Linked DNA regions of Macaca fascicularis. Each later gene encodes a partner of the first gene's protein in a complex. Links are inferred from orthologs where the notes say so. Each region holds a gene or a part of one and is shown in the gene's direction. Other genes may lie near its edges.

Region 1 (10,130 bases):
GAGTTTGAGACCAGCCTGGTCAACATTGTGAAACCCCACCTCTATTAAAAACACAAAAAGTAGCCGGACATAGTGGCGCGCCCCTGTAATCCCAGCTACTTGGGAGGCTGAGGCAGGAGAATTGCTTGAACCTGGGAGGCAGAGGTTGCAAGTGAGTCGAGATCATGCCATTGCACTAGAGCCTGGGCAACAGAGCAAGACTCCGTCTCAAAAAAAAAAAATTCACAAGAACAGATTTTTGACAGAATCTGTTATACCTTTTAAACCTGCATTTAGACCTAGAAGACTGTATTTGTTCTTAAGAGTTTGTTAAATTACAATGAGATTATTGTCTTTATTATGATATTTGTGAAAATAAAACGTTATTAACAACAAACTAAGCTCAGCTGGGCACAGTGGCTCACGTCTGTAATCCCAACACTTTGGGAGGTAGAGGTGGGCAGATGGATTGAGCCCAGGAGTTCAAGACTAGCCTGGGCAACATGGCAAAACCCCGACTCTACCAAAAATACAAAAACTAGCCAGTCTCATAACCTGGCCTCAAAATAAATAAATAGATAAAAATGTTAAAAGACCCCTGTGTAAAATATCCCAATTAAAAAAAATCTAAATGCGGCCAGGCTCGGTGGCTCAAGCCTGTAATCGCAGCACTTTGGGAGGCCGAGGCGGGCGGATCACGAGGTCAGAAGATCAAGACCATCCTGGCTAACATGGTGAAACCCTGTCTCTACTAAAAATACAAAAAATTAACCGGGCGTGGTGGTGCGCGCCTGTAGTCCCAGCTACTCGGAGGCTGAGGTGGGAGAATGGCGTAAACCCGGGAGGAGGAGCTTGCAGTGAGCCGAGATCGTGCCACTGCACTCCAGCCTGGGTAACACAGCGAGACTCCATCTCAAAAAAAAAAAAAAAAAAAAAAAAAAAAAAATCTAAATGCATAGAAAAATGACTTCAAGTATATAAAACATTTGATGGGATAATAATGGATAGCTTTTTCTTCTCAGTGCTTTTTAAATTTTTCCAAATTTTCTAAAATGAATGAGTGTACTTTTAAAAATACAAAATAAACCAGGAAAGCTACTACTTGGTGAACTTCAAAGCCCAACAGAATGAAATCAAAGCTATTTCACCCAGTGCTCTAATTAGAAACTAAGGGCTGTTGCGTGTAGCTCTGTAGGGAACAGGAAAAGGGTATAGGTTTGGTTTGATTATTGTAAAATCAACATGCAGAAAGAAGTTGAAAAAGGTCTGTTTAGAAAGCAACATAACAAAATATTAGTAAATTGGCAAACAAAGTTTTAAATTTTAAGAGCCAATACTCAAAAGGATGTGGACAAAAAATTATATATTCTCTTTTTTGTTTGTTTTTTTGAGACAAGGTCTCCTCTGTCTCCCAGGCTGGAGTGCAGTAGCACAATCAGAGCTCACTGCAGCCTCCACCTCCTGGGATCAATCGATCCTCTCACCTCAGCCTCCCAAGTAGCTGGCACTACAGGTGGGTGCCACTACACCCTAAAATTATATATTCTTATGTACTACCTGTGTGTGCGTGTGTGTGTGTGTGTGTGTGTACGGAGTCAATAAATTTCAAAGTCAATAAAAGTTCTTTTTTTTTTTTGAAACGGAGTCTTCCTCTGTCTCCCAGGCTGGAGTGCAGTGGCGCGATCTCGGCTCACTGCAACATCCGCCTCCCGGATTCAACCTATTCTCCTGCCTCAGCCTCCCAAGTAGCTGGGATTACAGGCGCATGCCACCACGCCCAGCTAATTTTTGTATTTTTAGTAGAGATGGGTTTTCACCATGTTGGTCAGGCTAGTCTCGAACTCCTGACCTTGTGATCCGCCCACCTTGGCCTCCCAAAGTGCTGGGATTATAGGTGTGAGCCACTGCGCCCAGCCTGTTTGTTTGTTTGTTTTCAGATGGAGTTTTGCTCTTGTCGCCCAGGCTGGAGTGCAATGGCGCAATCTTGGCGCACTGCAATCTCCTTCTCCTGGGTTCAAGCGATTCTCCGGCCTCAACCTCCCAAGTAGCTGGGATTACTGATGCCCGCCACCACGCCTGGCTAATTTTTGTACTTTTAGTAGAGACAGGGTTTCACCATGTTGGCCAGGCTGGTCTCGAACTCCTGACCTCAGGTGATCCACCCGCCTCAGCCTCCCAAAGTGCTGGCATTACAGGCATGAGCCACCACACCTAGCCAATAAAAGTTCTTTAAATTCCAACAGTAGAGCAAACTTGGTATTCAGATTCCTTCCAGGCTTTGACAATGAGTGCACATGAGGGCCACTGCTGTGAGCCCAGGATGGGTGTGACTAGGCACCGGTTGACCCATTGTGGCTGTTCCAAGGCTGCCCACATAGCCTCACCCAGGACTCCATCAAAAGCCCACAATGTGTGTATATGTGTATACATTTGATTATTGTATATACACACATTCTTAGTGTTGATGTATTTCAGCACAATCTTTTTTATTTTTTTTTGTGGAGTTTGTTTGTTTTTGGTGTTTTGAGACAGACTGTCCCCCTGTCGCCCAGGTTGGAGTGCAACGGCGTGATCTCAGCTCACTGCAACCTCCGCCTCCCCGGTTCAAGCGATTCTCGTGCCTCAGCCTCCCAAGTAGCTGGAATTATGGGCATGCACCATCACACCCAGCTAATTTTTGTATTTTTAGTAGAGACGGGGTTTCGCCATGTTGGCCAGCTGGTCTGGAACTCCTGACCTCAAGTGATCTGCCCACCTTGGCCTTCCAAAGTGCTGGGATTACTGGTGTGAGCCACCAGGCCCGGCCGCACAATCCTTTTTGAAAGCAATTTAGCAATATGAATGAAGAACCATAAAATGTGCACGTACAAAATGGTACAGCCACTGTGGAAAACAGCTTGGCAGTTTCTTGTAAAACTAAGATACAACTACCACATGACCCAATGATTGCACTCATGGGCAATTATCCCAGAGAAATAAAAACTTATGTTCACACAAAATCTTGTACATGTATTTTCACAGCAGCTTTATCCATAATAACCCCACACGGAAAACCACCCAGATGTCTTTCAGAGGGTGAATGGTTAAACAAACCATGAATACTTTGCAATAAAAGGGAACGAACTATTGATACACGCAACAACTTGGATGATCTCCGGGGAACAATGCCGAGTGAAAAAAGCAATCCCAAGAAGTCACATACTGTACGATTCCATTTATATAACACTTTTGAAATACCAAAATGGCAGAAATGGAAAACAGATTAGTGGTGGGAGGAGGTGGGGGGAGGGAAGTGTGGCTATAAAAGGGCAGCTAGAGGAATCCTTGTGATGGTAACTTCTTGTATCTTGACTGCACCAATGTCAATATTCTGATGGCAAGATGTTACTACTGGGGGAAAATGAATAAACAATACTTGGGATCTCTCTACATGGTTTCTTATAACTCTACATGAATCTACCATGTTCTCAAAATAAAAAGTTTAATTTAAAAAATGTTTTTAGAGATAGGGTCTTGCTGTGTCACCCAGGCTGGAGTGTGGGGGCTGGATCGTAGCTCACTGCAATCTCGAACTGCTGAGCCTTTCAAGCGATCCTCCCACCTCCGCCTCCCAAAGCACTGGGATTACAAGCGTAAGCCACCAAGCCCATCCCAAATATTTACTTTAAAAAAAAAAAAAAAAAAAAAAAAAACAAAAAACAAAAAAAAAACCCACCTTCTTTTGGCCAGTTATCCCAGGACGGGAAATCTATCCCAGGAATATAATCCGAAAGAAAACAAAAACCAAAACAAAATTGAAAAAAAGCACGTCGAATGTACCAGATATTCACTACAGCATTATTTAAAACAGGGAAAAAAGAAACAATCAGGGAAATACTTAAATCATGATACAGCCACTGGAGAACTATGCAGTCTTTGATGCCGTAACAGAGAAATGTTATTTGAAAAAGCAGGATACAGGCCAGGCGCAGTGGCTGACGCCTGTAACCCCAGCACATTGGGAGGCCGAGGCGGGTGGCATCACTCGAGCTCAGGAGTTCAAGACCAGTGTGAGCAACACAGTGAAATCCCGTCTCTACCAAAAATACAAAAAAAAAAAAAAAAGAAAAAAGAAAAAGAAAAAGAAAAAAGAAAAAAAAAATTAGCCGGGCGTGGTGGCATGTATTTAGAGTCCCAGCTACTTGGGAGGCTGAGGTGGGAGCATGGCTTGAGGCTGGGAGGCAGAGGTTGCAGTATGCAGAAACCTCGCCTCAAAAAAAGAAAAGAAAAAGGATACGAAATTGTGATACAACTCTGTGAAGACTACTAGACACATTACAAAATTTTTAATAGTAGTACTCTACGTGGCATTCTGGTAGAAACGATTTCCTTTCCTCAAACTCCCCGTAATAATGTTTTTATACGGTCTGGGGGGATGGGAGATAACATTAAACGACACTTTTTATATCACAAACGCTGGAGTCAATAAAAGTTCTTTAAATTCCTCCAGCAGTAGAGCAAACTTGGTATTCCGATTCTGTCCAGGCTTTGACCAAGAGCGCACCCGAGGGCCACCGCCTTCGTGATCCCAAGCGGGTGTGACTGGGCACCAGTTGGTCCACTGCGGCTGTTCCAACGCTGCCCTCACAGCCTCACCCCAGGACTCCACCAGGAGCACAGGGAAGGGGTCCCCGAGAGTGGGCGAGGTCGCTGCCCGGAGGTAGTGACCACTCCAAGGTCACCATGGAGAACCCGCAGACAGGGCTCGGCACGGCCCAAGACTCCCCGACTCTAAGTCCAGGTCTCGCTCTCTGTGCCGCGCCCCTCGTCCCATCCCGAGCAGCTACCCCCAAGCTCCCAGGGGCTCCGCCGAGGCGAAGCCTCACATTGCGGCTTGGCGGCCGACAAGACCCGCGACCCTGATCTCGGCACCTCCACGCCACCGCCCGGGGGCCAAGACCCCCGAGCACCGCCACATAGCGTAGCCCAGACCGGTTCCCTCATCCTTTTTCGCCCTCTCAACCCAGCTTTTCCCGACTCCGGGAAGAACCGGGAAGAGAAGGCGGAGGGGAGCGAAGCGCCGCCTGATAAATACTGTGGCCCAGTCCCGCCCCCGAAACGTCACATCCGGCCCGTGCCAAGATGGCAGCGCCCAGGCGGTGCCACGCAGACTTCCGCCCGGTGCGGAGACCTAAAGCTGGCAGCGGGTCGCGTCGCAGGTGAAGTGGTGACGCGCGGTGTGGAGCCGCGGCCCGGGTGCGTCCCTGCCTGGTTCCTGGGCGGGGTTCCTGGAGAGAGGGCGTGTCGCGAGCCAAAGGCTCTCACCTGGGTGGTCCCGGGAATCTCGCCACGTGGGAGGGGAGGAGCTGAGAGGCCACTGGAGGGACGCACCGACTGGGGGACCGGAAAGCAAGGGGGTTGGGTTCCGCCAGGGTCCGCGTGTCAGTCCACTCTGGTAATCTCGTCCCCCCTTCTCTCCCAGGCAACATGTCGGAAGGAAACGCCGCCGGCGAGCCCAGCACTCCGGGAGGGCCCCGACCCCTCCTGACTGGGGCCCGGGGGCTCATCGGGCGGCGGCCGGCGCCTCCCCTCACCCCCGGCCGCCTTCCCTCCATCCGTTCCAGGGACCTCACCCTCGGGGGAGTCAAGAAGGTATCCAACGGCGCGTTTCTAAAGAAACTCAACTACCTTGAATTCCAAGCCCCGGCATTCAACTGATGTTTGTGTAGGGCCTACTATGTGTCAGGAGTGTCGTTGGGCCTCAAGCCTACCCCTCTTTAAATTCTAGGGAGCCTGTCCTATCTTCAAATCTAGGTACTGAGTACAAAATGTTGAAATGAGTCCCAGAGGTGGTTGAAAGACAGAGAATCCTAATAAGTTAAAGTCGTTCAAAAGTAATTTGAACAGTGTTTATTTACTCTTATTGTGTGTTTGGACATTTTTAAGAAACCCATGAAAGCCAGGCAGGCATAAACTTCACAGTCTTAGAGCGTTCAGAATTCACCATCTCAGTGTGCAAACTTGTTATCTAGAGTATCATGAATCCTAGGCATGGCATTCGAGGCTCTGTGGGCTGTCCCATGTGTATATGACTGTGGATGTCAAGAGTAGCCCAGAAAGGGGTGGTGTCAGGATGACAGAAGAATAAAGCAGGTTTTTGGGTTTTTTTTTTGAGACGAAGTCTCGCCCTAGTCCCCCAAACTGGAGTGTAATGGCATGATCTTGGCTCACTGCAACCTCTGCCTCCCGGGTTTGAGTGATTCTCCTGCCTCAGCCTCCTGAGTAGCTGGGATTACAGGTGCCCGCCACCATGTCCAGCTGATTTTTGTATTTTTAGTAGACACAAGGTTTCACCATGTTGGCCAGGCTGTTCTTGAACCCCTGACCTTGTGATCCACCCACCTCGGCCTCCCAAAGTGCTGGGATTACAGGCGTGAGCCACCGCTCCCGGCCAAATAAAGCAGTTTTTTTTGTTTGTTTGTTTTGTTTTTAACAGAGTCTCTTTCTGTCGCCCAGGCTGTAGCACAGAGGCACCATCTCAGCTCACTGCAACCTCCACCTCCTGGGGTTCAAGCGATTCTCCTCCCTCAGCCTCCCGAGTAGCTGGGATTACAGAGGCCTGCCACCGCACCTGGCTAATTTTTGTAGTTTTTAGTAGAGACGGGGTTTCACCATCTTGGCCAGGCTGATCTTGAACTCCTGACCTCATGATCCACCTGCCTTGGCCTCCCAAAGTGCTGCGATTACAGGCGTGAGCCACCACGCCTGGACATAAAGCAGTCTTTAGAAACCTAACTTTGCCTTGGAAAATATGGAAAAACACTGCCAACAGTGATTGAGAGTATTGGCAGATCTGTGGCCTTCCCTACTTAGGCCTTGCTGCTAGAGATGTTCCCCCATGATACTGACTGGTCTCTATAGCAGTTTGAAGATAAGAGGTGAGACCAGAGAAATTCCTTTGCTTTTAGAAGTCCCAGAGGACCTTCTTTCAGGATCTTCTTTCCTAAGGCTGCTGGTTAAAAATGGTTTTTGGTGCCCCTTTCTTCTATGCATAACTCCACTGCCACCACACCATGACGTTCCTCCTTTTCAGGCACACGTGTATCTAGAAAACTGACAGCACTGTGGAATGTGCCAAAGAGAGTCATGGTGGCCGTGGTCTGTAGAAGATGCCCGTTGGGAGTTTTTATTTTCCTCTGTACTTTGGGATCAGGACCTAACACATCAGTGACTCCTGTATTTTGCTTTCAGAAAACCTTCACCCCAAATATCATCAGTCGGAAGATCAAGGAAGAGTAAGTAGCTAGTCCTTCTGAATACTTGCCCCTTATTTACTTGCTCTGAATTTGGGGCTTTGGGGAGAAATAAGTAGGTTTGTGGCTCCAAAATTTAAATTTATATCTTTAGTTCTTTTCACTAGTGATTTTCAACCCTGGCTCCTAGGTGATTCTAATGTTTAAGCTTTAAAAAAAAAAAATACTGGTGTCTAGGGTTCCATCTCTAGAAATTGTGATTTAACTTGTTGGCAGTAGAATGGAGTGATTCTCTTTGATGGCCCGAGTTGAGAGCCAATAGTTTAAACAAAGATGTATCACGCTTTCCCTGAAGTTCCTTTGCATTTCTGCCTTCCTGCTTTCAGTCCCAATGCAAACAAAAATCTACATTTTTGGACAAGAACGTAAAGTAAAGCAAACTGAAAAAATCCTGCCTCATCAAGGAAGTGAGAAAAGTGCTAGAATTAGGATTGGATTCTGCTTCTCATGGTGTAATTATTGGCTCAAACTCTCCGCTGTCTTGGAGTGAAGTGGTATGGGAGAGTAAGGCCAGTTTTTGGAGACACAGTGAGTGAGTGGTTTCCCTTAATCCATTCTTTTTTCCAGGCCCAAGGAAGAAGTAACTGTCAAGAAGGAGAAGCGTGAAAGGGACAGAGACCGACAGCGAGAGGGGCATGGACGAGGACGAGGCCGCCCAGAAGTGATCCAGTCTCACTCCATCTTTGAGCAGGGCCCAGCCGAAATGATGAAGAAAAAAGGTACAAGGAAGGAATCAGTGAATTTCAGTTCAGACTGCCCAAGAGAAGGGCGAGAGCAGTGGAATTTCCCCGCTCCCAGTTCAGTTTTCCTTGCTGTTGGCATCTTCCTTATTGATCCCTAGTGACCTGGGTGATTTCCCACAGGGAACTGGGATAAGACAGTGGATGTATCAGACATGGGACCTTCTCATATCATCAACATCAAAAAAGAGAAGAGAGAGACAGACGAAGAAACTAAACAGATCTTGCGCATGCTGGAGAAGGACGATGTGGGTACCAGGAGGCTGTGGGGAAGGGGCTTCCTTGTGGCTGTAGAACAGGGCTTCTGGGGAGCCAGGTGAGGGGCAGAAGAGCTCACTGATGTCCTGGAATCCTGGGGAGCAGCAGGAATCTTTGGTTAGAAAGGGACTAAAGCAGACTTTGATCCAGGTGCATGTGCTAGCAGGCTGGATGACCCAGACTCTTTTTGGCAGTTCCTCGATGACCCCGGGCTGAGGAACGACACTCGAAATATGCCTGTGCAGCTGCCGCTGGCTCACTCGGGGTGGCTTTTTAAGGAAGAAAATGACGAACCAGATGTTAAACCTTGGCTGACTGGCCCCAAGGAAGAAGACATGGAGGTGGACGTACCTGCTGTGAAAGGTACTCTTGTCAGTTAACTTCTCATCTCCAATTCCATGGCTGCTCCCCAGGAATCCTGTGCATCAGGCATCCTTTGCATGTGTCCCTGACTGCTGCTCATGAGCAGGTCCTCCCATCCCGGCTGTAAGATACATGAGCTGAACAAAGATGCCCGATTCTCCCTCGCAGAGGGTTCCTGTGTTGGCATGGAGCGGTGGGCCCAGCCTCAGATGTCGCTTTTTAGATAAGTCAGGCGAGATTTAAACATGTTGTCTCTTGCCCCTCTCTATAACCAGTGCCCCCTTCCCACTCCCTGGCTGAGTGACAGTGGAGCAGACGGGGGCAAAGGGCTGGTAACAGTGAGCTAGTATGGAGGGTGGTCATGTGATAGCATTCCATTTCTATCACCCGGGCAGTGAAAGAGGAGCCACGAGATGAGGAAGAGGCCAAGATGAAGGCTCCCCCCAAAGCAGCCAGGAAGACCCCAGGCCTCCCAAAGGATGTATCCGTGGCAGAGCTGCTCAGGGAGCTGAGCCTCACCAAGGAGGAGGAACTGCTGTTTCTGCAGCTGCCAGACACCCTCCCTGGCCAGCCGCCCACCCAGGACATCAAGCCCATCAAGACAGAGGTGCAGGGTGAGGATGGACAGATGATGCTCATCAAGCAGGAGAAAGACCGGGTATGCTCAGGCAGAGGCCTGTGGGATAGAGTCGGGGACTAAGAGGGGAAGTGGTGACCTGTAGTGGGAAGCAAAGCCGTGCCACCCTGGCTGAAATGGGACAATAATGGGTGGTTTTTCTTGATGCCTGCAAGAGCCATGGGTCTTTGTACCTCCAACCCCAATTGTGTGTGTGTGTTGCAGGGATGTGTGTTCACTTCTTATAAGGAAATATTTCAAAGACATACAAATGAGAGAACAGGCCGGGCGCGGTGGCTCAAGCCTGTAATCCCAGCACTTTGGGAGGCTGGGACGGGCGGATCACGAGGTCAGGAGATTGAGACCATCCTGGCTAACACGGTGAAACCCCGTCTCTACTAAAAAAAAACAAAAAACTAGCCGGGTGAGGTGGTGGGTGCCTGTAGTCCCAGCTACTCGGGAGGCTGAGGCAGGAGAATGGCGGGAACCCGGGAGGCGGAGCTTGCAGTGAGCTGAGATCCGGCCACAGTACTCCAGCCTGGGTGACAGAGCGAGACTCCGTCTCAAAAAAAAAAAAAAAAAAAAAAACAAATGAGAGAACATATGGCCAGGTGCGGTGGCTCATGCCTCTAATCCTAGCACTTTGGAAGGGCAAGACGGGAGGATCACTTGAGCCCAGGAGATCGGGACTGGCCTGGGCAACATGGTGGCACCATGGCTAATACAAAAACTAGCCAGGCATGGTGGCGTGTGCCTGTAGTCCCTGCTACTTGGGAGGCTAAGGTGGGGGGATGGCTTGAGCCCAGGAAGCAGAGGTTGCAGTGAGCCAAGATCGCGCCACCACACCCCAATCTGGGTGACACAGTCAGACCTTGTCTCAAA
Region 2 (10,061 bases), on another chromosome or scaffold:
GTGAAACCCCGTCTCTACTAAAAATACAAAAAATTAGCCGGGCGTGGTGGCGGGGGCCTGTAGTCCCAGCTACTTGGGAGGCTGAGGCAGGAGAATGGCGTGAACCCGGGAGGCGGAGCTTGCAGTGAGCCGAGATCGCGCCACTGCACTCCAGCCTGGGCAACAGAGCGAGAGTCCGTTTCAAAAAAAAAAAAAAAAGATGGTAACAATAGACATTGGGGACTACTAGAGGGTGGGGAGGGCTGAAAACCTACAACGATGCTCACTGCCTGGGTCATGGGCCCAAACCTCAGCACCACACAATATACCCAGGTAGGAAACCTGCACATGTACCCCCAGTTCTAAAATAAAAGTTGTAAAAGAAAAAACAAAACAAGGTCTTTTCATGTCATTTGCCCATTTTTCTTTTGGGTTATTGTTCTTTTTGTTACTGAATTGTGAAAACTATTTATTTGATATTTACCTATCAGGGAATTTTGATACCCTATCATTCATATCATCTTTTGTCAATAATCACCCAACTTCTCCTAAGAATTATGGGCACATATATTAAAATGTTTAATTTTGTTTGACAGTTTAAAAAATTGTATCAGCTTTTAAGCTAAAGGAGAACACAGAAAATAATACATATTCTTAGAACTCTTGGTCTAAGCAGCATAGGGGCCATACCATAAATGCAGATAGTTTTGTTTTTTTTTTTTTTTTCTTTTTTTTTTTTTGAAACGGAGTCTCGCTCTGTCACCCAGGCTGGAGTGCGGTGGCCGGATCTCAGCTCACTGCAAGCTCCGCCTGCCGGGTTCACGCCATTCTCCTGCCTCAGCCTCCTGAGTAGCTGGGACTACAGGCGCCCGCCACCTCGCCCGGCTAGTTTTTTGTATTTTTTAGTAGAGACGGGGTTTCACCGTGTTAGCCAGGATGGTCTCGATCTCCTGACCTCGTGATCCGCCCGTCTCGGCCTCCCAAAGTGCTGGGATTACAGGCGTGAGCCACCGTGCCCGGCCTGCAGATAGTTTCTATATATTTCAGTTAGTAAAATACATAATTGGTTAAAAGACAAAAATTGTAATTTCAAAGTCTTTTTTACACAAATATTTGTTCATATGTTTTACCTATAAAACTTTCCTTCCTTATCATAATTATATATGTATATGTGTATATATGTATATGTGTACATATACACACATATTTAAGAATTTGAAGAATAAATGTTGGCAGGATATACATTCACTTCTTTCTTTCTTTCTCTCTTTCTTTCTTCTTTCAGATGGAGTCTTACTGTGTCACCCAGGCTGGAGTATAGTGGCGCAATCTCGGCTCACTGCAACCTCCGCCTCCTGGGTTCAAGCGATTTTCCTGCCTCAGCCTCCCGAGTAGCTGGGATTACAGGCATTGGCCACCATGCCCGGCTAATTTTGTATTTTTAGTAGAGACAGGGTTTCAGCATTTTGGTCAGGCTGGTCTCGAGCTCCTGACCTCAGGTGATCCACTCGCCTTGGCCTCCCAAAGTGCTGGGATTACAGGCATGAGCCACCTCACCCGGCCCTCACTGCTTTATTTCCATAATTACAGTTGAGATTTATTTTGGCATTACTACATGCCAAACCCTGTGCACCTCATACATACACGAACCTATTTATCCTCACAATGGCTCTAAGAAGTAGATATTAATACCCCTGTCTTACAGTGAGGAAACTGAGACTCGAAAAGACTAAGTAATGTACCCAAGGTCACTAGAAGTTGTCAAGGCAGGGATTAAGTCTCCAACCTGTCTGACTGGAAAGCCTGTATTAGCAGGTCAAATTTATTATGCCAGCTAAATACTGAGCATGTTGGAAAAGTTTGGGGAAGCACCGGGCAATTTTTCGTGGTGTTTTTTTTTTTTTTTTTTTTTTTTGAGACGGAGTCTCGTCTTGCTCTGTTGCCCAGGCTGGAGTGCACTGGTGTGATCTTGGCTCACTGCAAGTTCCACCGCCCAGGTTCAAGTGATTCTTCTGCCACGGCCTCCTGAGTTGCTGGGATTACAGGTGCCTACCACCATACCTGGCTAATAATTGTATTTTTAGTGAGACAGAGTTTTGCCATGTTGGCCAGGCTAGTCTTGAACTCCTGACCTCAGGTGATCCGCCTGCCTCGGCCTGCCAAAGTGCTGGGATTACAGGCATGAACCACTCTGTCCCTGGCCAGTACCAGGACATCTTACTTTGGCTAAGGTAAGTCAAGACATTGCTGAAACTATACAAATGAAAGGTTGGTCAACGCTAACCATTTTAATCTAAATGTATACCACTCTATAAACCATCAATGTACAGCACTGTTTCAAATTTTAGAAGTTTTACAAATTTCCCAAAGAGCTGAGCAAAGAGTGAGAAAGCATGCAATGAGATAAACCAGCAACCAGATAAACACAAGAAATATGACAATGTTATTTTAAACAATTTCACACATATGTGATTCTTACCTGATTTCATTTCCAAAAGTGTATTGTTATCAATTTCATGGTTAGCTTTTCCAGGCTGAGGCACTCGTAGTGGTATGATCTGAGGGACACACACTGAACCAGCAGTCATTTTCTCTCCTTATATATAGAAAAAAAATAAATTCCACTGTGCACTTGTAGCTGTACACGAAAGTTGAAGAGAAGCACTTAATTTAAATGCAGCAAAACTAGTTAAAACACAAGAGAATACTGTTAACATGGCACTACAAATATTCCCTTTTTAATTGAAATAATATTTACATTTTGGCTGTATTTGCTGTTGAAGTCTTGTGTGGGGTTTCGATTATCTAAATACCTCACTTCCGAGAAAGGAGCATGAATCACGAGACGGGGGAAAGAAGTTACTTTAAAAGGGTAAATTAAATGAGTAAGGAAAACAGAGACTATCACTAATGCTTTTACTTCAGTTCCCTCTAAATCATTCTCGCCTTTTCCTACCTTTGGTGTGTGTCACCTCTCTTGGCTTCAGGGCAAGTCGTCATACAAGGGGAACCAAAGTAACTCTGTGTGTACCACAAAACGTTAGTCAGAGCTAACTTTTTTGGGAAAGCTCCAAGTTCACAGCCTTGCCACTGTCACCAGAGCAGTTCTAGTATTTGAAAGCTGCAAAGACACTTTAGAAGGACTGCAGAGTATTAGTTGTTAGTGAAAAGGACATTTGCAAGAATATAAACAGTGACCAATAAACACAAGCCTCCCATTCCATCTACTGTATTTATAAATCCTGGTATTAATAATTAACTACCAGTATGAAAGCCTTACTAGTCTTTTTGGAGGTGAGGGTGGGGAGGAAGGCCGTCATAATTTTTAATGCACAGAAGGTTTCAGGGAGAAAAAACGCTCTCCTTAACACAGCAACCATTTACACCTCTGTATTGTCTTTTCAAATTTCATTAAGAATCCACAGATTTTGCTCAATTATAATCTACATATTCATTCCATTTTTCTAGTCTACTTCTTGCATTCTCACTGTATTATTTCGTTTTCCATGTACTTATTTATCCATTTGGGGCTGGCCTTTTAGGCTATTTCTAGTTTCTTTTTAGTTTTGCCTGTTGCTGTCCTTTTTTTTTTTTTTTTTTTTTTTTGAGACAGAGTCTCTCTCTGTCGTCCAGGCTGGAGTGCAGGGGCGCGATCTCGACTCACTGCAAGCTCCGCCTCCCGGGTTCACGCCATTCTCCTGCCTCAGCCTCCCGAGTAGCTGGGACTACAGGCGCCCGCCACCACGCCCGGCTAATTTTTTTTTTGTTTGTTTTTGGTTTTTTTTTTGTTTTTTTTTTTTTGTATTTTTAGTATAGACGGGGTTTCACCGTGCTAGCCAGGATGGTCTCGATTTCCTTACCTCGTGATCCGCCCGCCTCGGCTTCCCAAAGTGCTGGGATTACAGGCGTGAGCCACCGTGCCCGGCCGCCTGCTGCAGTTCTAATAATGCTGATCTGACATCTCTGCAGTTTGAGCTTTGTCACAGACTGTATTTTCAAAAGTGGGGTAACTAATTTAAGGGGTGAACTTAATGCCTCGTTGGATAGTTCCAGATCGAGGGCCAAGAATATAAACTGCAGATACTGACAGCACAGCAATAGCTCCTACAGGAGTGTAGCTGAACTTGAGACTTGCCTATAGTCGCATTTCCATTCAAGTGAAAGGCAGATAAAATAAAAATAGTTGAAAAATTATTTCTAAATAAAAAATATGTAGGAGAGGAGGTAATTCGCGAGCATCAACTAGCAGCTGCCCTTACGAAGCTGGGGTGGCCAGTGGGCCCCACGCAAAGGGAATCAAGAAAAAGGCGGATCCGCCAGGCCCAAATGGCAACGTGCAGCAATCCACAGGATCCCCAGACCCCTCAACTCTCCCAAAGTGGACCGTCCCCTCGCAACCCGGATCCGGAACCCCGTTTGGTTGTCCCCGCCCGTCAGGGGCTGCCAAGGACACCTGCATCCTTTCGGCTGGAGTAAGGAAAGCTCTTCCCCTCCTCTAGCCGCCCTCCTCTTCCTCTAACCGGGGGACCCGTGATCGGGACCCCTAATCCATCTCTGCAGTTCCCAACCCAGTCGCCGGCCTCTCACCGCCTCTTGCCTCCTCCTTCGCCGCCGCTCGGGTTACCACAGACGCTGCGAGCCGTGCCCCGCCCACTTGGAGCTGGGCAGATGATTGGCGGCAAGGCAGCTTCTTAGCAACTAGCCCCGCCCCTGCCGCCTCGCCGGGAGCCTGGAACCCGCCTTGAGCTCCTTTCCCTGGGCTTTCCCATAGGCATCTAAGAATATTCCTTTACAGAGTTGCAAAGTGCTAAAAGTTGGCTTCCCAACTCAGAATGAAGGAACCAAGCTTGTGCGTCCGATGGGCATTGACATTCTGAAAAACAAGGATAAGAAGCTGTAGCGGCGCCTGTAAGTGGACCGGAGCAGGCGCGACTTGGCCACCTCCCGCCGAAAAGCAAGGAAGGACCGCTGCGACACGAGGAAAAAAGCCCCTCGTTCTCCGCTAAGCGCTATCCTTCACTGGTTCCCAGGGTTCTCCCGCTTGCTACCCGGCCGCTCCGTGCATCTTTTCCCCAGGCGTCAGGAACTGCTCCCTCATGGCGGAGGTGAAGGTGAAGGTGCAGCCGCCCGACGCGGATCCGGTCGAAATAGAAAACAGGTAAACCAAACAGGGAAACCAGTGAGACTCCGGCTTGGGACTCCATCAGGCGGCCAGCATTTGGGCAGCCGGACCCCTTCACCCGGATCCCTCGGGAGTGGCCGGATCGGGTTGGGTGAGCACGCGGGAAAACGATTGCGAGGTTCTGGATCCACTTCTAACCTCCCATCCTGGGAGAGCAGAACTCAAGAAGTTCAAAATGGGCTTGACAGCTTGCAACTTTGTGTAGCTGACTCGCTTTGCCCTGATACTTTTGGGGAAGTTGTGATGATGCGCTGCCTTCCTACTTTGACGTGATCATTGCTTTGAGAGGAGACCCTCAGCTTTCCTTCCCTTTAGAACACTTGTGAATGCTTGTTCTGATCCAGGATCGCTCTTGTCACGAAGGGAACGTCTATGTCAAAACGTTTAGGCGGAGTTAGGGCGCAGTTGGTGATTAGGAAGCAACATTAAGTCAGGTAGTTTCAGTGCAGTATTGAACTCAAGACTTTTAGGATACCCAAAGCCTCTGCCAGTTTTATTTTTATTTGTTTATTTGTTTGTTTGTTTTTGAGACGGAGTCTCGCTCTGTTTCCAGGCTGGAGTGCAGTGGCAGGATCTCGGCTCACTGTAAGCTCCGCCTCCCTGCAACGTCCGCCTCCTGGGTTCAAGCGATTCCCCTGCCTCAGCCTCCCGAGTAGCTGGGACTACAGGCGCGCACCACCACGCCCAGCTAATTTTTTGTAGTTTAGTAGAGACGGTGTTTCACCATGTTGTCCAGGATGGTCTCGATCTCCTGACCTCGTGATCCGCCCGCCTTGGCCTTCCAAAGTGCTGGGATTACAGGCGTGAGCCACCACCGCCTTTTATATTTTTTACCGAGGCACTGCCACTCTTAGATTATCACGTACTTTTAAAAGACGTAACTTTCTCAAACTGTTAGGAATAATAATTTGTTGATGTTGACTAGGTGAAGATTTTGACCTACTTTGTTTGGTAGATATAATTCCCAAAACAGGCCCCATTTTGGTGAATTATCATAAATTTTGGCTTCCCACCAGAAACGTCTGCATTTGCCTCCTGCTTGCAGATTTATGGCTTAACTTTGTCATACTTATTACACCTGAGAAAATTGAAGTCTCAGCTTTAATATTATTTCTGTGATTTCATTAGACTTTTGCTCTAATTTAAAGTTATTAGTGAGGAAAAGAAATATTCTTCTTAAATAACAATAATACTGTAATCATGTATTTAGAAATCATCTTCTTCAGTGTCTAAAATGCTTTGATCCAAAACCATCGCAGAAACCCAGATTGTCTTCCAAATGTGAAAAAGGCACAATTTCAAACTATTTTACTTGTGTTTTTACCCCTACTGTCTCTTGAAACAGGTAACCATGAAGGATAACATTAATACCCTTGTTTCTAGGATTATAGAATTATGTCACCAGTTCCCTCATGGAATCACAGACCAAGTAATTCAGAATGAAATGCCTCATATAGAGGCCCAGCAGCGGGCAGTAGCCATCAATAGGTTGTTGTCTATGGTAAGGTGAATCTAACTATTTTGCATAATTACTGATACGCTGATTATCATTGGTTTTTATTATGTAGTTGTGATGGTTAATTTCATGTCAACTTGACTAAGATACAGGATTCCTAGATATCTAGTTAAACATTTTATTGGAGTGTCTGTGAGGGTGTTTCTGGAAGAGGTTAGCATTTTGAATTGGTGAACCCAGTAAAGTAGATGTGGGTCCAGTGTGGGTGAGCATCATCCAATCCATTCAGGGCCTAAATAGAACAAAGTGGCAGAAGAAGATTGAATTCACTCTTTGAATTCAAAGAGTGAATTCAATCTTGATCTGGGCTATGGATCTTGTGCCCTCAGCACTCCTGGTTCTCAGACCTTCAGACTTGGACTGGCATCTACACCCTGAGCTCTCTGCTCTCAGCCCTTTGATCTCCAACACTAACTTTCCTGGGTCTCCAGCTAGCAGAGGGCAGATTATGGGACTCCTCAGCCTCCATAATCACAGAGCAAATACCTTCTGAGGAATCTTTCAAGAGAGAGATGTATCCTATTGGTTCTGTTTCTCTGGAGAACCCTAATACAGCAGTCATAAAACGAGAAAGTATGTTAGGTTTGACTGATAAGACTCTAAACCAGGAAATACCTCAAACTGCCTGAATTGAAAAAAGAAACAATTATGCATTATAAGACAAATGAAATAAATGTATTATGTTATAACTGTTGTATTATTAATTGCCACTGCCGTACATAGGTCTAGTCTGTTCTCACCTTCTGTTCACTTCCTACTACTGGTGTTGGACCATTTCCTATAAAATATACCACCCCCTTCCAACCCCCGATTTTTCTATGAGTTGTCACAGAGCCCAGTCATCAGGGTTTCATTCTCCACATTGTCACTGAGCATTTCAGGAGCAAGAATGAGTCCAGTTGAATGAAGAATGCTGGGCCTTGGGGAGGAAGTGCAGCCTTAGGCCCCGGTGATATCGCAATGAAATATATCATTGAAGCTATTCTCTAACTGTCCAGAAACAAACAAACAAGCAAGACTGTCTAAAAATCCCCTAGTGGTGCCGGATGCTCTAAATGTCTCCTTACTTTCCCTCATCATTAAAACATACTTTTCCTGAGAGCATTTCAGTTTGGCTTTAGTAGCAGTTAGGTTAAAGAGTTCTACGCCAAGGCGTCATCTGAATGACTGATTTGTTTTTTAAGTCCACTAGCCTTATTGGATCTCCAAGTGCTCTGGATGTGGAGATTTGGGGTCAGAGGAATCTTTTCTTAAACCTTTCCCATCAATTTTCTAGCTCAGGAGTTCGCAAACTTTTTCTATAAAGTGCCAGAGAGTATATGTTGTAGGCTTTGTGAGCCATATGATTTCTTTCACAACTACTCTGTCATTTTAGCAAGCAGCAGCCATGGATGATGATACATAAACAAATGGCTACAGCCATGTTCCAGCAAAACTTTAGTTATAAAAACAAGCTGTGGAGCAGATTGCTGACCCCTGTTCTAGCCCAAGGACAAAGGAATGTTGCTGATTTCTAGTTATTTCACTGTGGCGAAGGTCTTCAGCTCTAGGAAGCATAGAGGAAGGGATTCTGGGAGGTTGTAGCAGTGGAAAAATTCCTTTATTCCTCTGATCACCCTTTCAGCTCTTTCCTTCTGACTGAAAATCATCTTCAGCACCTCTGTTTTACCACCTCTGCCACCACCCACCCACTGCGAGTCCTATTGGCTATAGGTTGTATGTAGGCAGTAGTAGAGCTATCAAAGGATATTAAGAAATGAAGTGATAATTAATAAATCATGTAGTGTTTCTGATTTTAGCTCTTAAAAACAGTTCTTAAATTTGCTCTTCACACCCCCTCCATTTCTGTCCCTGGTACCGAACTATGTTCAGGCTCATGGCTTTTACCTCGACAGCTGCAGTAGCATCTTAACTGGCTTCCATGACTCCATCGGTCTCAGAGAAGCCAGCCTGATTTGGGATAACAGTCGTGAGCCACTGCCCCTTGCCCCCGATCCGTCTTAAATGCAGGTCTGACCAAGGCACTCTACCGCCTACAATTTGTTTATACTGGAGATTCAAGTTCAAACTCCTGGGTTTACCACACTGAGTCCCTGCATTGCTCACCAGCCTCATCTCCACCACTGTACCTCAAAAGTTAGGTTTCAGGAGGAACAGACTGTTTTTGGTTTCCTGCCACATCATGCTGTTTCACGCCTCGGGACTCATGTTGTTCCCCCTGCTTAGAAGGTTCTTCTTACTCTTTACAGATGACTAACTCTTTATTCTTTAAGACTCGGCTCTGCCATTGTCTCTAGGAAGTCACTGAACTGCCCCCTACCCCCAGGTTGGGCCACAGCCTGTTCTCCCAGTACCCAACCTGAGAGTTCAGGGTGGCTTTACTTACCTCTATCTTAATGCCAACCAGATGGGTACTGAAGTCAGCTGTGTGTTTCTCTTTTAGAATTCATGTTGTTCCCCCAAACACCTATCATAACACCTGGCACAGTACAAGTATTCAGTAAATATTCATAAGCTGGATAAATGACCAAATAGAGCCTCTGGATTGGGCCTTGTAGTCCTACTTTGCCACTTCATGGGGTCAGGGAACAGAGGGAGTAGGTCACCGTTCATTCAGTATGTAAATCCATTTCCAAGTCATGTCTGTTTTAAAACAAGGGAATGGGCCGGGCACAGTGGCTCATGCCAGTAATCCCAGCACTTTGGGAGGCTGAGGCAGGCAGATCACTTGAGGCCAGGAGTTCGAGACCAGCCTGGCCAACATGGCATAACCCTGTCTCTACTAAAAGACAAAAATCAGCCTGGCATGGTGGCATACACCTGTAATCCTACCTACTTGGGTGGCTGAGGCACGAGAATCGCATGAACCCAGGAGGCAGAGGTTGCAGTGAGCCAAGATCGTGCCACGGCACACCAGCCTGGATGACAGAGTGAGACTCTGTCTCTAAATAAATAAATAAATAAAACAAGGGAATGGCCTTTCTCTCAACTATGGCTTTCCAGTACTGCCAGAGCCTAGTGCTATAACTATCTGGGTTCTCTTAAGTTCGGACCCAAGGAAATTCAGGAGCATGACAGACATACTTTATTTTACTTCTGAATTGCTGTGTAAAAACAATACTACTCTAGTCCTTTTATTCATTGGCTGACATCAGTAAATGTCACTATTAACTTTTTTTGTTTTTTTGTTTGTTTTTTTTTTTTCCAAGATGGAGTCTTGCTCTGTCACCCAGGCTGGAGTGTAGTGGTGCGATCTCAGCTCAGCCTCCCAAGTAGCTGGGATTACAGGCACTTGCCACTGCACCGGGCTAATTTTTGTATTTTTAGTAGAGACAGGGTTTCGCCATGTTAGCCAGGCTGATCTCGAACTCCTGACCTCAAATG
Region 3 (9,939 bases), on another chromosome or scaffold:
CCTCATGTTCACACTCATATGTGGGAGGTAGTGCTAGTATGGTGGTTACCAGAGGCTGGAAAGGGTGGGGGAAGGGAATGAAGAGATTGGTTAATGGGTACAAAAATACAATTAGATAAAATAAATAAGTTCCAGCGTTTGATAGACTAGAATTAATAAGGATTTATTGTATGTTTAAAAATAGCTAGAAGATTTGGAATGTTTCTGACACAAAGAAATCATAAACGTTTGAAGGGTGGTGGATATTCTAAATAACCTGATTTGATCATTACATTGTATGCATTTATCAAAATATCACACGTACCTCACAAGTAATTACAACTATTAGGTATCAATTTAAAAAAAGAAGGGGGGACAAGAAGGCTGCTTGCAGCACATGCATGGGGCCTGGTGACTGAGGCTTCACAGTAGAGAAAGAGGCCAGGATTTCTTAGGTATTCCTCTACATTGGTATCTTCGTCTTTCCTCTAGGAGGCAGATTCCCTAGATAACATTTTTCTAATTTCCTACCTGGGTGGGGAAAGGCCTGGCTCTCATCCTTCTGGGAAACTAGTAGGACGGACACACACACACACAAACACACTCTTTCTTTCTCCTGTTTTCCATACTGAGCCCTTAAGCTCAATAGTAATTTGGCATCCTTCAATCAAGAAACTCCTTTGTTTTACTATCCCTAGAGAATAAACTAATTGGATGGGAGCGGGAGGGGCATTCACTAGAGTTTTAAGAGCTTCTTAAAAGGTTTTCAGGAAATTCTACTTACTCTTCTTCCCTTTGCCGCCACTGAGGTACTGCCTATTGCTAATTCCTGTGTTTTTTAAGGCTTCTGCGGTGGAAACTGAATTGGCTCTTAATTTCCCTTTGCTGGCATAGTATAAAACTGTTAACTTAGTCACCACATCTACTTTCTAGCATCCGAAACAGTTCCCCCAGCCAATGGGGATTTACATTTAAATCACGGTTTCTTTACAGTACATTAATGGTGCTTCGGAAGAGAGCCAAATTAGATGTGTCTGTTCAATTCACCACCTTCCTACAACCTGTTTTAGCCTCTGCAAATGACTTAAGTCCGCCTGAAATCACGCCTCTGAGATATCTTGGTGACACTGGGCATATGGTTTAAACATGTATGTAATAGGGATCACAATGCCAGAACTTTGTATCACTTTAGTGAAAAATGGGCAAAATGATGTTTGCCCACTCAAGAGGTATGTGCTATGTCAATTTAGGGTCTACTGCTATCTTAGAGGAAGATAACCATTTCACTATTAATAAGGCGAGTTGCTTTTTCATCCAGATAATGCACTGGATTATATGGCTATTCTCTCCTTGTCCCTCATTTACAAGTTGGCTTTTGGGTTAGAGATACAGTGCACAGATTTTTGCTTCTCCATGACAAGCAATCATCAATTCATTAAAGGAAATGTAATAAATGATTTCAGCTCCTTGCATTCTACCAAAGCAATGAATACTTTATGCTGTTCATGTGTGTAACTGTATACAAATTTTTAATACAAATATTTTATGTATCCTCCCAGGCATCTGGATTATGTTAACAGCAAGTTAGCAGGCCACATCATTCAGAAGATATGGGAAATTAATATTCTTGAGAAGAGAGGAAAGTAGACACTGCTTGAGAGGGTGGGGCATCCAGCTCCTCATGAAAAACAACTTTTGATAACACAGTACTATCACCTTCAAAGTGTCTGGTAAACATTAAGCTTTCTTTTCACCCTTTTAAAGGCTTAAAGTACCACACAAGTAGTTTGCAGGCCCCTTTCAGCTCCCAAAATGTTAGGATTCTACCATCAACTGGTAAACCTGGGTTCTAGTCCCAGCTCTTTCCGAGATGGGTGATGTGACCTCTTGCATGATACTCAGGCCTACATGGGTTCTTTCTTCATCTATAAAACAATCCCTATCATTCTTTCACCTTTGATTTCCCATTGCTGATACAGAATCAAAAGTCAATTTCAAAAGTAATTTATTCTTTTCAATAATTTAAGTATATTTTAATACTAATGTAAACATTTTTGGTCCGGGTGTCAGAATTTAGTCTGAATACCCATCAACTGCATGGAAATCTTACCCCTAAAAGTACCCATTTTTGTCAAGAAATACAGTAATTAGGTGTGACTTTAATGTAAATTAAAATTTAATGTACATGTACTTTCATCTCATATTGTCAGATAATGTAAGACTCCCATCTAAACCAGTTTTTTTTTTTTTTTTAATTTTAGATTTAAAACTTTAATGAAGACTTTTGTTGGGTGGGGTTGAGGTACAGAATCTTGCAATTTTTTTTTTTTTAGCACCGATAAGTAATACAATATAATACTGCAATTTTTAAAATATCTCAAATGAGTAAGATGTCATCTGTGAGATAAACTGATTTTTGTAAAATATTTCATTATTTGCCATATTGTTTGGTCATAAAGTGAGCTTCACTATACTGCAGCAACTGGCTTTTTCTACTATATAGAGGCATGTTTTAATAAACCAAATTGGTAATTAAAATAGTCTCACACTAAAGGAAAGAAGGGGCCTTTCACATTCTACTCAGAATTATCATCATATATTTATGAGGTAGGATTTATGTACGTTCTGCATGCCTTGATCTATTGTGCCTAGATTCATATCCTAGCTTTTATCATGATCTGTCTCAGGCAAGCCATTTAACTGGGAGGTCAGTGGCCTCACTTTAAATGTGTTGTGAGGATAAAATGAAATCAAAAGTATACTAAAAAGAAAATAGAAAACTAATATACCAAATATTGCTGATGTGGCAAATTAGCTCAATTATTTAAGTCCTTGCGTAGGGAAATGGGCTGAGGCCCTAATCTATTTATTTTCATCCCATGGATTTCTCTCTGAATTCCATATTTGTCTTTCACAGAGCCAAAGAGGACCATGGCTACCTATGCATTAGTCCACATAATTTACCTCTACCGAAAATTACTTCCTTATTGATCTTTCTCAGGCTTTGCTTTCAGCCGGACCAGATACCTGTCATAAAGTTATTCTACGTTTATGATTACTATTAAGCTTTTGCAATCGTGAGTCAACATCAAGAACAGAAACCTATCTGAGAGGTTTCCAATCGCATTAGCGGATTGGAATCGCTGCTCTGATGACTTTCTAAGGCTACAGGTGGGAACTGCCCATACCCGGTGGTGACCAAGCTGATGAAGTCTGCAGTTCTCAAAAGCACAGATCATGACATGCACTCCCCGTGGGGCGTCATTCCTTAAAAGTCTACTCACTACGAAAGCTCCTGGAAATGTCGGGTAGGTGCTTAGGGAAAGAATAAGAAATCCCTAGTCAGTCACAAGTCTCTGTAGTGTTACTACTACAGCCGACTCAGGAAACTGGCTAGGGAGGGGTAGTGCCGGCTTTCAAAGAAGTACTCAGAATTGCTATACGGTGCCAGAGCTGGCCTCTGGCAGGGAAGGCTGTGATGGCTTTGGCTCTGGTCAAGTAGGTTTTTACTTAGGGAAGGGTGTAACAGAAGTGGTTCCGCGAGGTGCCAAAATAATCCCCTTTATGGCCACGCAAGTCTGCAACATGCGGCACTCGGACAGTCTCTTCCCAATACCCTCCCTTAACGAGAGCGCGCGCCCGCGGGGGCCCATTACCATCCTGCAGGATGAGGGTGGGCTGCACCGCCTGTACCCGGAACTGTCTGGCCCTCCAGCCGGGGCTGGGCGCCCGCACCACCTCGCTATCGGAGAGCCAGGTCACGGTCTCAAAGTTGTCCCCGCGAGCCAGCGCCTCGGCCTCGGCGTGGTGCACGGCCACCCGGTCGAACTGGTAGAGGCCGCCGGAGTGGTCGAAGTGCACGTGGGTGGCCACGGCAAGCAGCGGCCGGCGCGCCGCGTCCTCTTTGGCCCCGCGGTCCTGCAAGAGGCCGGAAGAGTACAGGTACTCAGGGAGGCTGCGCAGCCCCAGGCCTGTATCGATCACCACGTCCTGCTCGGAGCCGCGCACCAGCCAGATGTTGGCACGGTTGCCCGACTCGTAGAAGCGTTCTTGAATCCAGAAAATACCATCGCCTAGAGACTTGTGGGCGTACCACTCGAGCGCCGACATGCTGGGCAGGGATGCAGCCAGGCGGGGTGAGTGTGGGCGTGCGAGTCTCCCACAGGCTGTGTAAACACCGGGCGCTGCGGCTGTGTGGAGCCGTCTGCCTGCAGCCAGGGAGGAGGCGTTGAGTGAGGCGGGGGCGGGGGATGCGGGAGTCAGAATAGGAGGAGGAAGGACGCAGACCGACGCTGCCAGTAGCGTGCGCTCTCGTACCCTCCCGCCAGGTCGGCAGCAAGCAGAGACTGCGCCACCAGCACGGGGGCGCAGGAGCTACAGCAGCCTCGGCAGGCGCACCACGAGGGAGCTGTAACGCAGGGACCACTGCAGCAGAATGGAGACTCAGGTGGTGACCCTTTCGCCACCCCGGGCGTGTGACAGCAGAGGCCCGGAGCAAGGGTGGGAAGCGCTAGGACCGCCCACCCACTGGCTCCCCACAGCGCGCACTCCTAGCTGGCGCGGAAAGTGTGGGGCCTAGCAGGTTGTACGGAGCCTACGGAGCCTGCCAAGGGCAAAAAAGCTCTTTGCCGAGGGGGTGGGGCCTGCCTAGGGAGTGGGCGGGGCTAGTTGGTAGGGCTCACGCCGCGGTCCTGGGGCCGCGTGGAGGGCGGTGCGAGTTTCTCCTGAGGTGGAACGAACGGCACTCGAGCGCCGGTGTTCTCTGCCAGCACCCCTTACTTGCCGGCCGGCGCTTCGGCTGCAGAGTTTTGCCCAAGCTTCGAGACTTAGGGAACAGGTAACCGAGGAAGCAATCGAAGACTTGGGAGGGGTGGTGAGGGTAGAGGGGAGTTAAAGGGGCATGTGGAGAAGTTGTGGGGGAAGTCGGGGGTAGAGATTCATTAAAGCGCCTCTGGGTTGAGGGGTGTTTGGAGATAGCTTGGTACCTCCCCTCCTTGTCCTGCTCCCTTCAGAATTTTTTTAAGTCGAATTTCCAGATCTTACCCAGTCTCCACTCCTGGGACTGTTTGCAGTGAGTTAGAAGGGTATTTATGCTCTTACTGATAGTAGGTTATTTTCCAAATCCAGTGACTTTATGATTTGTTGAGGCACTAGTCATTGCCGCAGATTGCAGCTAAGGACCGACTGTTCAGTATCTGTTTTCGTAACTGTTGGCATTTTATATCGTAGGGAAGGAAGTTGTTAATATGGTTTGTCTTTTCTTCTAAAAAATAAAATTCTGTATCCACCCTCTTTTTTTTTTTTTTTTGATTTGGTCTGTCCTTGGAAGAGAGAAACGCGAGTTGGTAGAAAGGCTCAAATAGAGAAAAGGAGCACCTGGTAAGGACGGGAAAAGTGAATAATGACTGGGTGTGGCCCCGCCAGCCTCTTAAATCATCCGCTCTGTTAACATCAGGTCACTGTCTCCACTCCCCACTTCCCAGCTATTGAAGCATCTATTTAGGTTTTTTTTTTGTTTTTTGTTTTTTTGAGACAGAGTCTCTATTGCCCAGGCTGGAGTGCAGTGGCGCAATCTCGTCTCACTGCAACCTCCGCCTCCTGGGTTCAAGCGATTCTCCTGCCTCAGCCTCCCAAGGAGCTGAGATTACAGGCGCCCGCCACCGCACCCGGCTAATTTTGTATTTTTAGTAGAAATGGGGTTTCACTATGTTGACCAGGCTGGTCTTGAACTCCTGACCTCAAGTGATCCGCCTGCCTCGGCCTCCCAAAGTGCTGGGATTACAGGCGTGAGCCACTGTACCCGGCCAGAAACATCTATTTAGGCTTAAGAAATTCCCTTGAGAACTTGACTAACCTCCCAACTTAGCCAGGAAAAATGATAAGGAGACTCATGAGACAGCATTACAAAAGAATTATGAAAACCGTTACTGTGACAACTACTAATAAGCCTTCATGGAAGGAGAGGTATACGCTCTTTTGCTACCCTCCTGAAGTCTTTGGTGGGCATGCAGCTTTTCTAAATACTTTGCTAATCTTGGTAGAGATTATTCGGTTACTCAGTTGGGGGCTATCCTTATGCACAAGTCGCTGAGCTAGATAATTCATGAGAGAATTGTGTAAAAAGGTCATAATCTGGATTCTCAGGAGTTTGAAGGAAGATAATGTCTGTACACAATTACTTGGAAGATAAAGCATTACAGGGTATGTACCACAGAGACAGTAAAAACTAGATTCAATAAGAATACAGATGGAAGGGATTCTTGAGGAGTGGCTTTTGAGCTGGCCTTAAAAGACTACTTTTAGGGCATTCTCAGCAGAGTAATATAGGGCCCTCAGTAGTCTGGGTACTTTTTCTCTAGGCAGAAGTGAGCCACTAGTGGTGAAATGGAGTGATATCTCTACCAGGCCATGAGCTCAGCAATAATTTGCACAATAATCATTGGCCTTTTGCCGGGCTTTGGTTAGTAATGGGGACATAAAAAGGAGAATAAGTTTCCAAGGAGACTTTCACACTTCCAGGTCCCTCTGCCTGCATCCCACATCTCACTGGATATCCTTTTTTAATTCTTTGCATGGCTCTTTGCTTTACTTTTGTCAGGCTTATGCTCAGATATCACTGAATAAGAGAAGACTTCTTCAGCCACCTTTTCCACAATAGCATCCATGTTTCCTGTCTTTATTTTTCTTCTTGTCACTTCCTGACTTTCCTATAAAATATATTTTGTCAGTTTCTTACCTCAGACTCTGAGCTTCATGAGAGGAGAGATTTTGTTTTGCTCACTACTGTATTCCCAATTCATAGAAGACAGCCTGATGATGAGGGTGCTTAATAAATACTTGATTGGATTGAAGAGCCTCCCTGGGAGACAGATAAGAGCTGACAGTTACAACATGATTGTAAAAAGGGCTTAAAAGCAGAGTAGTACTTGGGAAACAGAGAAGGGAGAGGCCTATCTCCATGTAGGGTGGAAGAAATTGTCATGGAGAAAGTGTTATTTGCATGGCATCTGAAAAGAACCTGGGGCTTAGGTGGATGTGGCAGGAAGGGCACTCCAGGCATGCACTGGTTGATTTGGCCACAGCGTGGGGTGCATGTAGTGAGAGGCAGAAAGACTCCAAAGCTCTTTTAAGGAGAGTCACATGTCAAGATTTGTATTCCAGAAAGATACCCTAGACTGCAGAGTGGATTGAAAGGGAGAGTCTGGCCACAGGAAGTTTATTTGTTCTGTTTTAGAGGTCCAGGTGAAAGATGAGAGGGTCTGAACTGAAGCAGAGGTGGAAGAAACGGAACATGGGAGAGAGAACAGAGCTGGTAAACCTCTACTTTTAGATGGGGGATTGGAAGTAGACAGGTCAGGATACCTATCCTGATTGTAGCAATTTAGGGGTCATTCATCAGGAATAATACTGTGACTTAACTTTCACTGCCTCCTCTAGCTTCTGTGTCTGCTTCTATCTGTTTGTGCATTTATTGATGGAGCTGATGTTGTTACTGGTGGAGGGTGTCCAGGTTCTTGGCATCTTGAACAAAGAATTGGACAAAATGCACAAAGCAAAGAAAGAATGAAGCAACGAAAGCAGATATTTGTTGAAAATGAAAGTACACTCCAGTGAAGGAGTGGGTGGAGCATATGGGCTCAAGGGTCCCCTTACAGAATTTGTGGGGGTTTAAATACCCTCTAGGGTTTCCATTTAGTTACTTGGTGTACACCATGTAAACGAAGAGGATGAAGTAAAGTTACAAAGTCATTTACTTGGCATATGCCCTATGAAGAGGGTATTTCCTGTCATAGCTGAAGTGTGAATCAGCCTTTTTGTTCCCTGCCTCCAGACCCTGTTTTCCTGCCTCAGTGTATACAAGGAACTGTGTAAAACGTGGAGGACAAGACATTTCGGTTACATCATAACTCATAAAATGTTAGAACTAGGAGGAATTTCAGAGATTAGCTCAGCATCTGCTAGGGGTTGTTTTTGTAGTTGATTAAAATTGACTTTTTTATTTCATCTCTTGGATGCTTAAACTATACCCATTTTTAAGCCTCTCAGAACAATTCTGAATAGGAATTTTCAGGAGACATCCTGAAATGGAAGGGGCAATGCTACTGATTTTACATTTTTAATTGAGTCTGTTTTGCAGTTATTAATTCACTTCATTGAATAAAGACCTCCCTGGGATTAAAAAAGTCTTCTAACCAGCCTAGACTATGCTTCCTGAAGTGTAATGCAAATGAAAGAATAGTGGAAAGGTTTTCTGAGGCCTTAAAGCTGTCCTGCTTTTGTTAGGAATTAGCTTTGCATCCTTAGGTAATCAAGTAACCGCTTAGGGTGTCACTTTCCTTTTCTGTAAAATGGGAGGTTTAATCTGCAGTGGTTCTTTTTTTTTTTGAGACAGAGTCTTGCTCTGTCACCCAGGCTGGAGTGCAGTGGTGTGATCTGGGCTCACTGCAAGCTCCACCTCCCGGGTTCACGCCGTTCTCCTGCCTCAGCCTCCCAAGTAGCTGGGACTACAGCCGCCCGCCACCACGCCCGGCTAATTTTTTGTATTTTTAGTAGAGACGGGGTTTCACCGTGTTAGCCAGGATGGTCTTGATCTCCTGACCTCGTGATCCACCCTCCTCGGCCTCCCAAAGTGCTGGGATTACAGGCGTGAGCCACCGTGCCCGGATTTATTTATTTTTTTTTGAGAGGGAGTCTCACTCTGTCACCCAGGCTGGAGTTCAGCGGCGCAATCTCAGCTCACTGCCATCTCCACCTCCCGGATTCAAGTGATTCTCCTGCCTCAGCCTTCTGAATAGCTGGGACTACAGGCGTGTACTACCATGCCCAGCTAAGCCTGTAATCCCAGCACTTTGGGAGGCCGAGGCGGGCAGATCAGGAGATCAAGAGATCGAGGTCATCCTGGCCAACATGATGAAACCCCGTCTCTACTAAAAATGCAGTGGTTCTTAATTTGGGTTGCACACTGTAATCTCCTGGAATGCTTTAAAAAGTCCTGATGCTTAAATAGTACCTCTAGAGCTTCTGATTTTATTGTTCTGGGGTGAATCCTGGGTTTTCTTTTCTTTAAAACCTCCCAGTGATTCCAGTGTGCAGGTAGGTCCCACTCAAAGAAAGGGGGAAAAAAGCCTTAATAATGGGCTAACTGAATTGTACTTCTGTGGGTAGATTTGCTCCTCAAATCACAGTGCACAAATAGGGTAAGCTTGACATTAATTGTGGAGTTGTTGCTATATAGGAAGCACTGTGCTAGACAGTAGGGAGGATAAAATCTCTACTTAATAGACAGTAGGGAGGATAAAATCTCTACTTAACACAGTCAGAACCAACAAACAGCCAGGTGCAGTGGTTTATGCCTGTAATCCCAGCACGTTGGGAGGCTGAGGAAGGCACATCACCTAAGGCCAGGAGTTCAAGAGTAGCTTTGTCAACATGGTGAAACCGTATCTCTACTAAAAATACAAAAATTAGCCGGGTTTGGTGGCGGGCACCAGTAATCCCAGCTACACTGGAGGCTGAGGCAGAAGAATTGCTTGAACCTGGGAGGTGGAGGTTGCAGTGAGCCGAGATCGCGCCAATGCACTGCAGCCTGGGCGACAGAGACTACATTTCGAGGGGCGGGCCGGGGGAGGGAAACAAACAAACAACAAACTAAAAACGTAGGTGAAACTCCTCTCCTTTGGAGAAGGTCCATTTCCCAAAAGTGGTATTCTCTTTATTTCTTTAAAAACTGATGAGTGTGGTAACATGTATCACCTGATTTTTTTTTTTTTTTTTTTTTTAATCTATGTGTTTTAACAGGAGGATCTTTCCAAGAGCAATGTGGGATGAAGTGACTGTTGTGGTTGCTGGGGACTTAAACTGGCTTTTATGGTAAAAGGGGATGTAGCAAGTCAGGGAGGCAGAGGGAAAGACTGGTATTCAAGAAATGACTATAGTGAGTCAGGAAAATAGGGTGCAACC

Evidence for each region.
Region 2: POLR3D (region 1) and POLR3F share a complex: the UniProt entries of both Homo sapiens proteins name them as parts of the RNA polymerase III complex. The link is inferred for Macaca fascicularis from reciprocal best matches to the Homo sapiens genes POLR3D and POLR3F.
Region 3: POLR3D (region 1) and POLR3G share a complex: the UniProt entries of both Homo sapiens proteins name them as parts of the RNA polymerase III complex. The link is inferred for Macaca fascicularis from reciprocal best matches to the Homo sapiens genes POLR3D and POLR3G.

What each region holds. Positions count from the first base shown.
Region 1 is NC_088382.1:25,312,268-25,322,397, forward strand, and holds the start of POLR3D (DNA-directed RNA polymerase III subunit RPC4), read left to right. Parts: upstream 1-5,092; 5' UTR 5,093-5,177; exon of another isoform or gene 5,178-5,214; intron 5,215-5,440; 5' UTR 5,441-5,445; coding exon 5,446-5,610; intron 5,611-7,209; coding exon 7,210-7,253; intron 7,254-7,838; coding exon 7,839-7,990; intron 7,991-8,134; coding exon 8,135-8,259; intron 8,260-8,463; coding exon 8,464-8,632; intron 8,633-9,027; coding exon 9,028-9,290; intron 9,291-10,130. UniProt on the Homo sapiens protein: DNA-dependent RNA polymerase catalyzes the transcription of DNA into RNA using the four ribonucleoside triphosphates as substrates.
Region 2 is NC_088384.1:68,815,919-68,825,979, reverse strand, and holds the start of POLR3F (DNA-directed RNA polymerase III subunit RPC6), read left to right. Parts: upstream 1-4,965; 5' UTR 4,966-5,075; coding exon 5,076-5,137; intron 5,138-6,544; coding exon 6,545-6,662; intron 6,663-10,061. Other genes in the region: DZANK1 (double zinc ribbon and ankyrin repeat-containing protein 1), read right to left, coding at 2,459-2,567. UniProt on the Homo sapiens protein: DNA-dependent RNA polymerase catalyzes the transcription of DNA into RNA using the four ribonucleoside triphosphates as substrates.
Region 3 is NC_088380.1:94,474,171-94,484,109, forward strand, and holds the start of POLR3G (DNA-directed RNA polymerase III subunit RPC7), read left to right. Parts: upstream 1-3,159; 5' UTR 3,160-3,287; intron 3,288-3,635; coding exon of another isoform or gene 3,636-4,089; exon of another isoform or gene 4,090-4,185; intron 4,186-4,292; exon of another isoform or gene 4,293-4,816; intron 4,817-5,308; exon of another isoform or gene 5,309-5,358; intron 5,359-7,218; exon of another isoform or gene 7,219-7,291; intron 7,292-9,939. Other genes in the region: acyl-coenzyme A thioesterase MBLAC2, read right to left, coding at 3,636-4,089. UniProt on the Homo sapiens protein: DNA-dependent RNA polymerase catalyzes the transcription of DNA into RNA using the four ribonucleoside triphosphates as substrates.